Linked DNA regions of Oryzias latipes. The protein of the gene in region 1 binds, or shares a complex with, the protein of each later gene. Links are inferred from orthologs where the notes say so. Each region holds a gene or a part of one and is shown in the gene's direction. Other genes may lie near its edges.

Region 1 (4,899 bases):
CCACTGAGCAATGGGAAAATGAAAAGAAATGTGACGATGAAGAGCAAGAATCCAGTCACCTGCCAGTTCAGCAGAGTCTCCTGCTCTTCCTCCTCTTGCAACACAGAAACCCCTTCTGCTCCCACCTGTCTGATTTTGTAGGTGAGAAACAATTTGGGATTTCGCGGTTTTTGTCAGGAGCCAGTAGAAAAACTGATGTGAACAGCTTTCAAGACGGCTCTTTTCACAGCCGCTGACATGCTGATAGAGCACCACCTGGAGGAGATTCTGTGCAACAACAAGCCGGCTGTCATGGCAGCCATACGAACGGAAATCGGGAACGCCATGAAAGCTCAAAATCAAAGGAAAAAGGCAAGAATGAAAATAAAACCTTCCCAACAACCTTTCTACTGTCAGAGAATAGATGAACAGCTGCTGCTGTACTTTGACAGAAAAATAAATATTGGTTCAAGTTAGCCACTTCAAGATGCAACCGTTCATTTTAAAATAAATTGTTTAGAGTGTTGTTTCATTTACTTGTTTATCTATGTTTTCTGTTCTGATGAAAGCAACAAGAGAAGCTGAATTCAGCGGCTGAGGTGATTCTCAGTTCCACCATGAGTATTGTTAGCTGCAGCAGCAACGTGGACTTCAGAAACGCCTGCTTTGACCTCATGAAGGTACAATAGAAAAACATCTGATCTTAAAATAACATCCAGCACTCGTAGTTTGTGTCGCAGCCAAATCGCTTAGTTGCCTAAATGAAAAGAAAAAAAAGTGCTTTTTGTGTGCAATGTGATTTTTAGGTAGCCGACACTCATGCGTTGTCATCCCACCTGGGTGAGTCACTCCGGCGAGTGATGTCATGGAGATTCCTTCCCGTGGGCAGATGTTATTCCACTCAGGTTAGTGAAGTGTGTGTTTTCCACAACCGCCTGGCATCCATCTGGGCTTTTAACAGTAATGTTGACCAAACTCATTGCTTTGGCAGATGGAGGAAAATCTTTTACATCACGGGTCTACAAAGTCGGAAATCTGAGGATGCTGTTTTTTTTTTTTCCTTGAAAGGTTTTTGTGGAGTTCAGACGAGTGACCTGTAATTTATTTTGTCTATAATATGCTGTATTTACCTTGAATAAAGAAAGTGGCGTGAAAAAACTTGATCCATATTTATTTATTTTTACAATCTGTGTCACACAAGAGGTTAATAATATTTATTTATTTTGAACAGATAAAATAAACATAATCAAAGTATAACAAATAACTATGAAAGGGGCTTTGGATGAAGTATGACAGCTGATCGAGTCTTTTTTTTTTCAATTTAGTCTAAACTTAAATGAACAGTATTTGTACAGAATTACAAGAAATTAAAGGCATACACTGGGGGAAAAATAATCAGTTCTTTTTTTTTTAAACTGCTGCCTACAGCGATTCATCCTTAAGCTTTTATTTTGACGGTGGCCTTGAGGAAAACAGTTTCCTGTCTTGACGTCATTTCCGGCCGCCAACCCCGACAGCCCCTTTTCGCGGTAAAATGAAATAACCATTGATTGGATTTATTCCGTGTAGTTTAATGCAGTTGGTAAGACACCGAGGGGTTTAACGTCGAGCAGTTAATTTAATCCGATTGTTGATGTTTTTTCTAGCTAATGTAAAGCTAGCGTTAGCATCACTATTCTTTTGACGCCGAGAACTAAATTATTAACCCAAACCACCAGAGGTCCAACAACAGTCGACAGCAAAGCAATGGCGCTTGCAACAGCAGAAAGTTTAAAGGCGCAGCTGGACATCTTCTGCATATCCTGCGAGGATGACTCGGTCCTAGAGAGGAGTGAGTGTTTGACATTTAATGCTTCCCTAATCGTCCAATTCTGTAGCGTTAGCTTAAGAATGGCATTGGAACCTGGGATCACGTGACCTGGATAACAACAGACACGATTCTTTAGTCTTGTCAACCTTTTGCTCTATTGTGCAATAAATCAGACTCGAAGCATAAACATTCAAGTATTATACTTTTCATATTGTCCATTCATTTTTTTGTTTTTACGGTGTATACTTCCTACTTCATTCATTGCTGTTTTTAAAATATCCTATTCAGTTTTTTCTGAATTTTTTCAAAAACCTTGCAGCAGCAGTAGAATTTCATCTTTTCATCCTGTTGATCTGATGTTTTCAGAACTTTATAAACCATTTCTGTCTTTAGTCCTTTGATAAGTTTTAAACTGTTCTCACTGGATTTTTCTCTTTGTTTTAGTATTTGCTGTTTCATTCAAAGACTTTATGCTGACAGCCATTTTTGTTTGTTTGTTTGTTTGTTGCTCAGTGGTTGAGCAGTGCATCTGTCACAGAATTCAGGAGGATGACATGGTGTGTGAGTGGATGGCCTACAACAGCAGGAACCCCAAACCTCTCACCATGAACACGCTGGAGCAGTTTGAACACGAGGTAAAAGCAGGACACAGATCATGGGTTTTTCATGACTGCAGCATAAATGTGGCTCTTCAGCTTTTCCACACTTTTTTCCCTTTTCTCACATTTGGACTTTTGGTTTCTTGACAGGTTTTAAACAAGAGGAACAAGTTCAAATCAGGCCTGAAAAAAGAAGAACCTTATAACAAAACCATGGACATTAACACCTTACAGGACATGTATCCCATACTTTAGGAAAACCAAAAACAATAGTACTATTGTGTTTATTTGTGTTGAGTTTCTGACGCTTTGCAAACCTTAACACAGTTCTCTAACAGAATAAAAGCTGAGGAGGAAGAGGAGAATCTCCTCGACTCTTACTCCACTCCAGCAAAGGTGAGCTCTCAGCTTGAACTTCTGTTTGTCTCCTTCCACCATCAGTTCTGCATAGTTTATGGAGTTTACTGAATCTCTGTGCCACCCCTTCTCCCTTTGCCTCGAGTTACAGGGTTCTCAGAAACGACCGCTAACCACTCCAGAACACCCGCAGTCCAAGAGGAGTGCTGCTCTGCTGGCCAGCCCCGGCCTGCTGCTGTCTCCAGCCAGCTTCTCTGCCAAGTACGAAGCATCACACAGCGTTCACACAGCCTCTGTCAGCTCGGCGCCGAGCCTTCAGCCTGAATATGAACACAGAATTCTGAGATCATTGTCAGAATTTTAATGAATTCTGACTTCTTTTATTAAAGTCAGAATTGTCTGATTAATCATTGAACTCCCTCTAATGGTAACAGTCTGCCTAGACCCTTCTTTTCTTCATGCATCACATAATCTCTAAGAAATACTTCTAGTGGGTGATAAGTTTAACTTCTAAAATTACTCAAGAGATGGTCATTTTCTATGTTCTATGATGCTTAAATTGTCTGAAATAACAGACAACACATTTGTGTGTTTTCTTATAAATACTTCAGATCCAACGGTTTTAAGATGAAAAAAAATAACTATAATAAACCACAAGAAATTTTGTTTCTTTGGAGGATTTGTTCTTTTTCCTACAGCTTCATTGAAGATCAGCGAAAAAAGGGATGTTTATTTTTATATCATGTTGTAGATTTTAAAGCAGTTTCTTCTATGATTAAAGAGATTCAATTCAGAATGGTTAGGAGTAAGAGATGAATGAGGTTTTGTTGGAACTTTGACTTGACTATTGTCTCTCCTCTGAAGTGCCACGCCCTCACAGAAGTACAACCAGCGTGGAGCCAAAGGGGAGGTTGTGGTCACGTTTGGAGCCACGCAGGGAACCCGCTGGGCGGGCAGGAAGAACCCGGCCGCCGGCGTCCAGGTGGACTTTCTGGAAGGGCCTGAAGACTCCCTGCACAGCAGCTACAAATTCATGTTCCAGAGGCTGCGCGACGTCAGAAATGGTGTGCGGGCCCCCAGCAGTGCTCCTTTGCTTTGGTGCTTAGTGTTTCTATATTCACGTCCCTCATTTTTCCAGTGTTGGCAGAGAAGATTGAGGATCTGGGGGAAACCGTCAGGTCTCACTTCCACATCGAGGAGTTTGCCAGCGTGTCTCTGCCCGCACAGGTACGGAGCCGTCACTGCTGTGGGAGTCACACGGTGCTGGATTCTCTGGATTCAGAATACAAAAGCCAAAAGAATCCATACGTGCACGTTCCTTTATTTGATTCCACTTGGATCCATAGTTTCCAGCAACAAACTGAATCAGTCATTTCCTGATTGTTGCTGTCATTTTCTGTGGGAATTGTTCTTGTTTATTATATTGTTTAATGATCTGAAGTTTCCTGTTATTTTAATGCAACAAACCCATAGTTAGGTTTTGGTTTAGATTTCATTCATAATGTCATGATTAAGTCTCTTGAAAAAAAAACACGTTTTCTTTCCCCTCCCTACTATTATATCCGAGTTATTTTTGATGCCTCTGCATCAGTTTTATGCCAAATCCTCAAATTAAAAGCGGGTTTTCTATCTTTGCCGCTCTGATATCCGCTCATTCATTTCTGCCCTCCACCTTCAGGACAGCATAACGGTGTCGGGGCAGATTTGCTGCGACAGTAACGGCAAACTGAACGCTCAGTCTGTTCTGTTGGAGGCGGGACCGGAGCACGGCGGTCAGCAGGTTGCCGTGGACCTGTCGGAGCTTAAAGAGTACTCCCTGTTTCCCGGTCAGGTAGGATGAACCCTGCACAGAAAGAAGTGTTCCTGTAATCTCTGAGCTGGAGGAGACGGTGAGGGGGGTGTTCTCCCGCTGGTGGTTTCTCCTTTGCCTCTGCACTCAGGTTAGTGTGCAGCAGGTTATATGGCCACCCAGAGTAACAGAGCATGCCAAGGACCCGGGCTGGAGGTGAAGCCGGTGTCTGACCGAGAGCTCTGACAGTCGTCTGTGGCTGCAGCAGCAGAAAGATTCAGTTCCAGCTGAACGTTTCTGCTCCAGAGCAGCTTTTTGCATGTCCAGATGGCGTGGAAGTGATTGCATGCAGGTGGTTTTTGTTC
Region 2 (3,832 bases), on another chromosome or scaffold:
TAGGTTTATTTTATAACATCTTTTTTTCTTGTGCAGAAGGACGTCTGTTTTTTTTTCTTTTCTTAGGGTACTGTGAAAAAAGGCCAACACTTTGAAAAAGAAATCATGCTGCAGTACTGTTACCCTCGGCTCGACGTGAACGTCAGCAAAGGGGTGAACCATCTGCTCAAGAGTCCGTTCAGTGTCCATCCCAAAACAGGTGATTATGCCTTAAAAGGAGCAGAAAGTTTGCAGTCATTAAGACAAATTCATATAAATATGAAGCCAGATTTGACAAAAATGCAAATGTCATACAAGAATGTAAAAAACAACAACTGTCAAACTTTCAAATTAAGGATTAAAAGCAAACCTTTAAAGATGCGATATTTTGTTATTACTTAAAATAATTAGCTCTCTTTGGAATGGTGACTGTTGTTGAAATAAATAACTGAAGCTATTGCACGCTTTCTGTTGTAAACTATTTGAAATAAAATAGAAGACAAGATGAACTACTGGGCTTTGGAAGATGAATATTGTCCTGCCCCTTTATTGTTATATTGGATTACACTATTCAAGAGTTCACCAAATTCTTTCAGTTATATTTGCAGTTTAGCATTGCGCTCAATGAAAACAAAAGACAGAGCAGTCTGTGGGTTGTTTTTTTTTCATATTCCAGTAAAACTTGAATACTTCCTGAGCTCTTAAATGACTCACAATAAGCTTTTGGTTGTTTCATCTGGACACAGACACTTCTGTCATTGTTTTTGTTTTGTTAAAGACCCACTCAGATAATCTTTTGTCCATTGGAAAGTGCTCCCAGTGGTTTTTTATTATCGGTATTCCGTTTTTAGCCACACACAAACAAAACTGTTGTTTTCTACGACAGTTTCTGCAGAGCGGCAGGGCAGTATTTCATTAAAAATTCACCTCCACCCAACATTACCAGTACAGAAAAAGGTGAGCAATATCGGAGCAATGCAGTCGCACAGTTCTGAGCCAGATGCCAGCTCGGAGGAGGAAAACCAAGAGGTCCAAAATGTCTGCAAGTGGATGCATCAGAATGGAACGAAGCAGGGAGCTTGTCACCTCTGTCACAAATACGGTCTTTTTTAAACATTTGTCGTCTGCTCCTGATTCACAGCAATTTGATTAAAGAACTAATAGAAGTTTCAAGAAGATTTTAATTTTATTTTATGCAGCATGAAAAAAAAAAGATTTGGGAAGAAAATTTAATTGAGCAAATAAAACAATTCAATTCAATTTTATTTGTATAGCCCAAAATCACAACAACAGTCGTCTCGATGGGCTTCGAAGTGAAACATGAACTCAAAAGGATCATGAATACAAAGAGTTCAATAGGAAAATGCTAAAATGAACTAACAAACTAAGCTAAGCTAGACTGGCATCCCTGCCCTTAGACCCCCCTTCGCAGTAAGAAAAAACTCGAAAAAACGAAGAAACCTCAGGGGTGCCCACATGAAGGAGGGATCCTCCACCAGGACGGACAGGCGATTTACCAGAACTCATAGAGAAGAACTAACTTATCTAACTTTACAACTACATATATAAAGTCCAGCAGACGAGCTTCATCCAGCCGTGGTTGGGGGGACAGCCAGGGGCGCGAGTCGAGCCTGAGACAAGAACCACAGCCAGGTGTAGGAACAGGAGCAGAGACGAGGTACTCGGTCAGGAATAGGAGCACGGATGAGCCAACTGGAATCTGGAAGCACTCCCAATCCCCAGGAGGGGAGAGGGAAAGAGGGACAATACATGAATCGCACTGCACCAAACAGAGGCATGGAGAACTAAATGATGAATGATGATCAATAATGGAGGAGAGGAAGGGTAGAAGTAGATGGGAAAAGATTACAGAACCCCAGAGCACCATAGCTACCCCAGCTTCAACTTCTCGCAGCCTACTAAAAACAAATAGTTATTAATTTATATTTCAAACCCATTAACATTAAGTTAAATAATCTCTGAATACTAACTACCGGTAGTCTGATAATACACTGATAAAACACTTCTTATTTTTTTCAGGTCGGATCTCAGTTCCCATAGATCTCAAAGAAGTAGACAGCTTTGATCCATTTGTTGTGCCTACAATCAGGTAAGGGAAGAATTCGGCATCCCTCAGTGTGTTTGATGCAGGAAGACTAACGAGGCCTCTGCTGTATTAAAGTCGCATCTGTGAGGAGCTGGATCGTCCCAGAACAGAAGAGGAAAAGTCGGAGGAATCCCAAGACAAAGAAAATGAGAAAGATGCAGTTGAGACTCGGAAGATGAGAGGTGCTCAAAGACAAGAATACTGAAATATGCCCTGCCATTAAAATATGTACGCTGTTATGTGTAAAAAATGTAAGGTAACGACTGATGGGCTTTACGTAACGGGGCTACTGTAACAAGTAAAGTAACAGAACGTACCACTTTCCTATTGAGAGTATTTATCATTCATTTTTGAGAGTTTGTATTTTTTAAAACTCACACAGAAACCAAAAAAAGTCATTTTTTTCTCCTCAGATTACAAAAGAACCAGCCTGGCAAAGTATGTGAAATACTTTGATTCTTTCCTGGATGGAATGACTCGTTCCTGGAAGGGAGAACTTCTCAGAAAGAGTGGTAAATTCTCATTTTTCAAACTAAAACATGTTTTCTTCTTCTTTTTTTCATTTTGCTGAATTTTCTTTCTTCCAGATGATCAAATGGAATTCTGACAGGCATCAAACTCGTGCTTTAAAAATAACAGATTTTACTGTCTGTTAGTACATGTGGTGATGGATGTGTAGTGCTTTATGCATTTGTGCATTTGACTCTTGTGACTTTGATATCTTTTTGTATCAAATCTTTGTAATTTTCTACATTTTTCCAACATTTTGCTGGTGTATAAATATTTGTGAGGCATTCAATAAAATGTATTAAATTTAAGCTCTTGTTCAACCTTTTGTGATTGATTTATTTAAAAACAGGGATTTGATTAGAGTGCAAAGTATTAATCACTTCCAAAAATATTTTTGATATGTTTGTGAGGATGTCTCTTTATCAGGTGTCTCCTAAACTAAAGTGAACAAAAATTTTAAGGGCGTATAATCTTTACCAACCAATTTAAATAACTGATAAAAGCGTGTGTCAAATGACCACAACTAAGACTAAATTATTGAAGACACCCATACTAACTTATTTGCACAGTTGGTATAATTTTTATCATTTTTGATCAGAACCACTGAACTAAGAAAAAAACAGGCACCCTGAGGTTCATTATTTGCAAGCTTGCAGAGCCAAATTTTTAACAAAACATTTTTTAAAAGTTCTTACAAATACTTAATATTTAATTTCTATAGTGTAAATTTATTCCCAGCATGCCAAACCCATCTGACAGAAAATTTGATTCAAATGACAAAAAGAAGCCTCTTTAAAAGATTACAATAAACATTTACTATGACAAAATGTGTTCCCAAATTTTTTAACCTAGATATATTCAATGCTTTCTACGAAGAGAAGGCTGTTTTTAATGCATAAAAAGACTATAAGTTTGATTCAAAAATTGAAACGTTTTTACACAGCACACCAGACTTTACCTCTAATGATACCGGAAGTAGAAAGGTGCTCCACCGGATATTACGCAAAAACTGGGGTCAGGAGTTCTTTCTCACAGCCATCTTGGAATTAGCGTCCCGAGTTGGTGAGGATCTCCGCTTGAAATCCAATATCATCTGGCAGTTTTTCCTACATGTATGCCCTTGCTAAAGACCTGGCTGGTTTAATTGAGATGTGACCATCACGTTGGTTGAATTATTGTTCTTGTAATGCCTCTCTGTAGTGAAGAATGTGCTGCTGAAGCATTGACAAGCAGCTC
Region 3 (3,377 bases), on another chromosome or scaffold:
TGTTTTTACACCTTTTTGCATATTTTGTCGTGTCTGCCCGAACTGATGCGAGTGCCTAAAACTACATTAAAAAATACACTTTGATTTTAGATTATTAGAGAAATATTTGATCTTGAAATTGAATAAAACCTCTAAATACATGCTATTTTTTAAAATACTGCAGGTCCTCGTTTATTGAGGGAGTTATGTTCTAAAAATAACCTCCATCATTAGCTTTATTTTTTACAAATATTGTTAAAGGTTTAATACTGTGAGACTCCTCTCTGAGACTTCTCTCAGACAAATATTAATATTTCCTCTCTTATTCAAATGTTTAAAGTTCAAACCTTCGTTAAAAAAAAGTCCAGTATTATAGAATGAAAGCAAAGATTTGCTAACAATTGAATGTTTATTTAAATATTGCAAACTGAACGCGTTCTGTACACGAGACACCACACGTATGGGACTGATTGACAATGGTCTACAGCCAATCAGGATGCAGGACAGAATCCGCTGTTAAAAAAACAATTACAAGTGCACCAAAACTCTGCTAAAGGTGAATTGTGATATAGCGAGGGACCACTGTTAGAAATATGTTGACAGACCACAGAAAACTAAAAGGAAAGAACTTGCTCTATGATAAAGAAGCAAATCTAACTTAGTGTTTTTGGATCTGGTCAAAACAAAGAACAAAACCTTAGAAGAGTACCAGAACTCTGGATATTTCTGTAATCCTGCATTTGGTTATTTTTCTTGCCTCTAATGGCAATAACTGTTGAAGGGACAATGTAGTCATGACTTGATTAACTGCACATGAAGCTTAATGAATAGTTTGTGGTTCAATTGTTTGCTTACAAGAACTTCACATACATTAATTTAGATTATGCATGCAGTCACTTGAGAAATGTTGTCTGCAGTCGCGTAGAAGAGAAGTTCATTTGCTTCGACAGGCAAAGTGTTCCTGCAGATTCTTATCTCATTGTCATGATGCTAATAACTTAAAGACCTGTAGGATTTTACACAGCGTGTTCCATAGAGAAGACCTGGGAAAGTGGCGGCAATCGTTACCTCAGACTCACTGCAGAATCGCTTCAGTCCCACACAGAAAAGCAGATTGAGGGAAATTCAAAGTCTGTATAATTATCCTCATTTAAAACCTGTAATTCACAGTCGTTTCAAAAGGGGCTAAAAAACAAACAGAATTTGCTCAGTCACAATAGTTTTAAAGACGCTCTAATCGTTTTTATTTTTATTTTCAGCAGTGGTCTTTTAATTACGGTTATGCCGTTTCTAGCCCCCAAAAAACAGCTGTTTTTCGAGAACATAATTTCTGCAGGGCAGCAGTTGTTCATCAAAAGTTCATCTCTGACTTGTGGGCGGGACCGTTGGTGGAGAGCAACCCCGCCCCCTTCCCCCTCCTCGATGCAAAAATGGCGAGCAATATCGGAGCTATCGAGCTGTACAGTTTTGATTTTCTAATTTTGAACAGTGGGGTTTTAAAGAAAGTTATGAAAATAAATTGTAAACAAATCTTTTATCCTTTCTACACACTTTAAAAACCATGAAACGGTTTACTAAAATCCTAAAAATGCTTCTTAATAAGTTGAAAGCCCAAAACAGTTTGAGGTTTCCATTGGTTTGACTTTCTCTGTCCTGAAAGGACATTTCATGTGACAGCTTTTGCACTCGTGTCACACTTCTGGAGGTGACTTACCTTACAAACGAAGCCGTGAAAACCCGTTAAGTCAAATAAGTCTGTGCAAGAGTTCTCATCTTCCTCCATAAGTGAGACAATCATCTTCTAAAAGGTGACATTCCATGAAATCAGTCAGTCAACCTGCCACTTCTGTGACAGCCCATAGTTAGAATCCTCCGCTGACCTTCCTCTCCTGTTTTTTTTTTTTTTTTCTGTTTCTTTACGAGCAGGTGGAGGACTCTTCTTTCTCACTCAGTCACCCCAACCAGTACTTTATAGAGAGCCAGAAAGCTTTAGGTGGAGGCAAGGATCCAAAGAGGGATGTGGACGTTCCTCAGAAGGTGCAGGAAACCTCTCAGCATTTGGCAGAGACGGCTGAGGACCTGGAAGCTCTTTTTAAAGATGGCTGATTTCTCTCACTACATGGAGAAATCCTCCACCTTTTTCTATTGGAGATGGTTACATACTGTCTTCAAGCCTCTTGCATCACATTTGAATTATGCTTTTTCTTTTTTTTTAAGATTTTTTTTTTATATTCACCTTGTCAGATTGGAGCCTCCTGTAAAACTTGTAATAAACACATATTTAGCTCCTTTGCTTTCGCTGTGGACTGAACTCGCAGGGCTTAAATCTGGTCTCTGTTTGGATGGAGTTTGGCTTTTGGGGGAAACCGTAAACATTTCCTTGCTGTCCCCAAAACAATGTCTTTGTATTTGATGGCAGCTTAATGGATAAATGCTGACAGGAGGATGGATGAAAAAATAAACCATTTCCACAGTTGTATTACTCTGCCTTGGAATATTGCCTCATAATGCACAATGCAATTTATTCAAAGCAAATGAGGTGGCGAGATATTTCCCCCTCTCTCTGTCTGGCCCGTCTGCTTAATAATTTCCCAGAAATGGTGGCAAAAGTTGAGATTGCGTTGCTCCTGCAGTGCAAGACGGACTGTTTCTCTTATTTGGGTGTTATATTTATGTGCATGTCGAAACACTACATCATTCAGGCTGCACTTGCATCCACGTGTGGCAGCGCCGGAGAATCAGAGTCCCACATTCCTGCACGGAAATTGGGTCTTAAAATCCAGTCATGGTGCTTGACATGAAGAGGATTTATCCAGTATAATAAGACAACTGGATAACTGAAGGCGGGCGGCTGTCAGCAAGATACTTCTTGATGTTCAATATTTGGTAAAGCATGACTACATTTGACACCGCTGCCCCCCCCCTCGACAGTCTGAAGCCACGGATGTCCAAGACCATTTCTGCAGATGGATTTACAGTCATTAGCAGTGAACTGGCTTTACATTGCGCAGCTTTCTTATCCGCCACTCGTCTGACGGACTACAGGTGATGTGAGATTCTTAAAGAGAGCTCTCACAGGAGCTGATGCCCGGCGTGTTCCATGAAGCCGTTGGGAGGTTAATGTTGCAGCTTGCTGATTTTTCAAATCTGCAGCCAGTAGGTGTTGCAGAATCCATTAACTTTGTCGAACCACAAAAATGTGCTGCTTTAATTGTGCGATGGCTGAATCCGTGGAGTGCAGGTGCAGCATAAAAACAGTGAAGCAACGATTACGCTGGCTCGTGTGCACATTTCTGTTCATTCAGAGATGCCTCCCTTTGTCCTCATCTTTTTATTTCATGCATGTTTGATAAATCGCCTCACTGAGTGGAAATTTGGACATTTTGTTTGTGCATTTT

The links. Proteins that work in one complex are often made in the same cells at the same time.
Region 2: pola2 (region 1) and prim1 share a complex: the UniProt entries of both Homo sapiens proteins name them as parts of the alpha DNA polymerase complex. The link is inferred for Oryzias latipes from reciprocal best matches to the Homo sapiens genes POLA2 and PRIM1.
Region 3: pola2 (region 1) and prim2 share a complex: the UniProt entries of both Homo sapiens proteins name them as parts of the alpha DNA polymerase complex. The link is inferred for Oryzias latipes from reciprocal best matches to the Homo sapiens genes POLA2 and PRIM2.

What each region holds. Positions count from the first base shown.
Region 1 is NC_019868.2:12,481,864-12,486,762, reverse strand, and holds the start of pola2 (DNA polymerase alpha subunit B), read left to right. Parts: upstream 1-1,443; 5' UTR 1,444-1,725; coding exon 1,726-1,810; intron 1,811-2,302; coding exon 2,303-2,424; intron 2,425-2,538; coding exon 2,539-2,627; intron 2,628-2,726; coding exon 2,727-2,784; intron 2,785-2,896; coding exon 2,897-3,006; intron 3,007-3,609; coding exon 3,610-3,809; intron 3,810-3,883; coding exon 3,884-3,972; intron 3,973-4,423; coding exon 4,424-4,576; intron 4,577-4,899. Other genes in the region: uncharacterized protein LOC105354875, read left to right, coding at 1-141, 230-351, 549-659, 786-884, 971-1,018. UniProt on the Homo sapiens protein: Accessory subunit of the DNA polymerase alpha complex (also known as the alpha DNA polymerase-primase complex) which plays an essential role in the initiation of DNA synthesis.
Region 2 is NC_019865.2:19,073,318-19,077,149, reverse strand, and holds the end of prim1 (DNA primase small subunit), read left to right. Parts: intron 1-66; coding exon 67-199; intron 200-2,019; coding exon 2,020-2,089; intron 2,090-2,161; coding exon 2,162-2,268; intron 2,269-2,499; coding exon 2,500-2,598; intron 2,599-2,673; coding exon 2,674-2,693; 3' UTR 2,694-2,916; downstream 2,917-3,832. UniProt on the Homo sapiens protein: Catalytic subunit of the DNA primase complex and component of the DNA polymerase alpha complex (also known as the alpha DNA polymerase-primase complex - primosome/replisome) which play an essential role in the initiation of DNA synthesis.
Region 3 is NC_019873.2:24,463,309-24,466,685, forward strand, and holds the end of prim2 (DNA primase large subunit), read left to right. Parts: intron 1-1,905; coding exon 1,906-2,085; 3' UTR 2,086-2,461; downstream 2,462-3,377. UniProt on the Homo sapiens protein: Regulatory subunit of the DNA primase complex and component of the DNA polymerase alpha complex (also known as the alpha DNA polymerase-primase complex) which play an essential role in the initiation of DNA synthesis.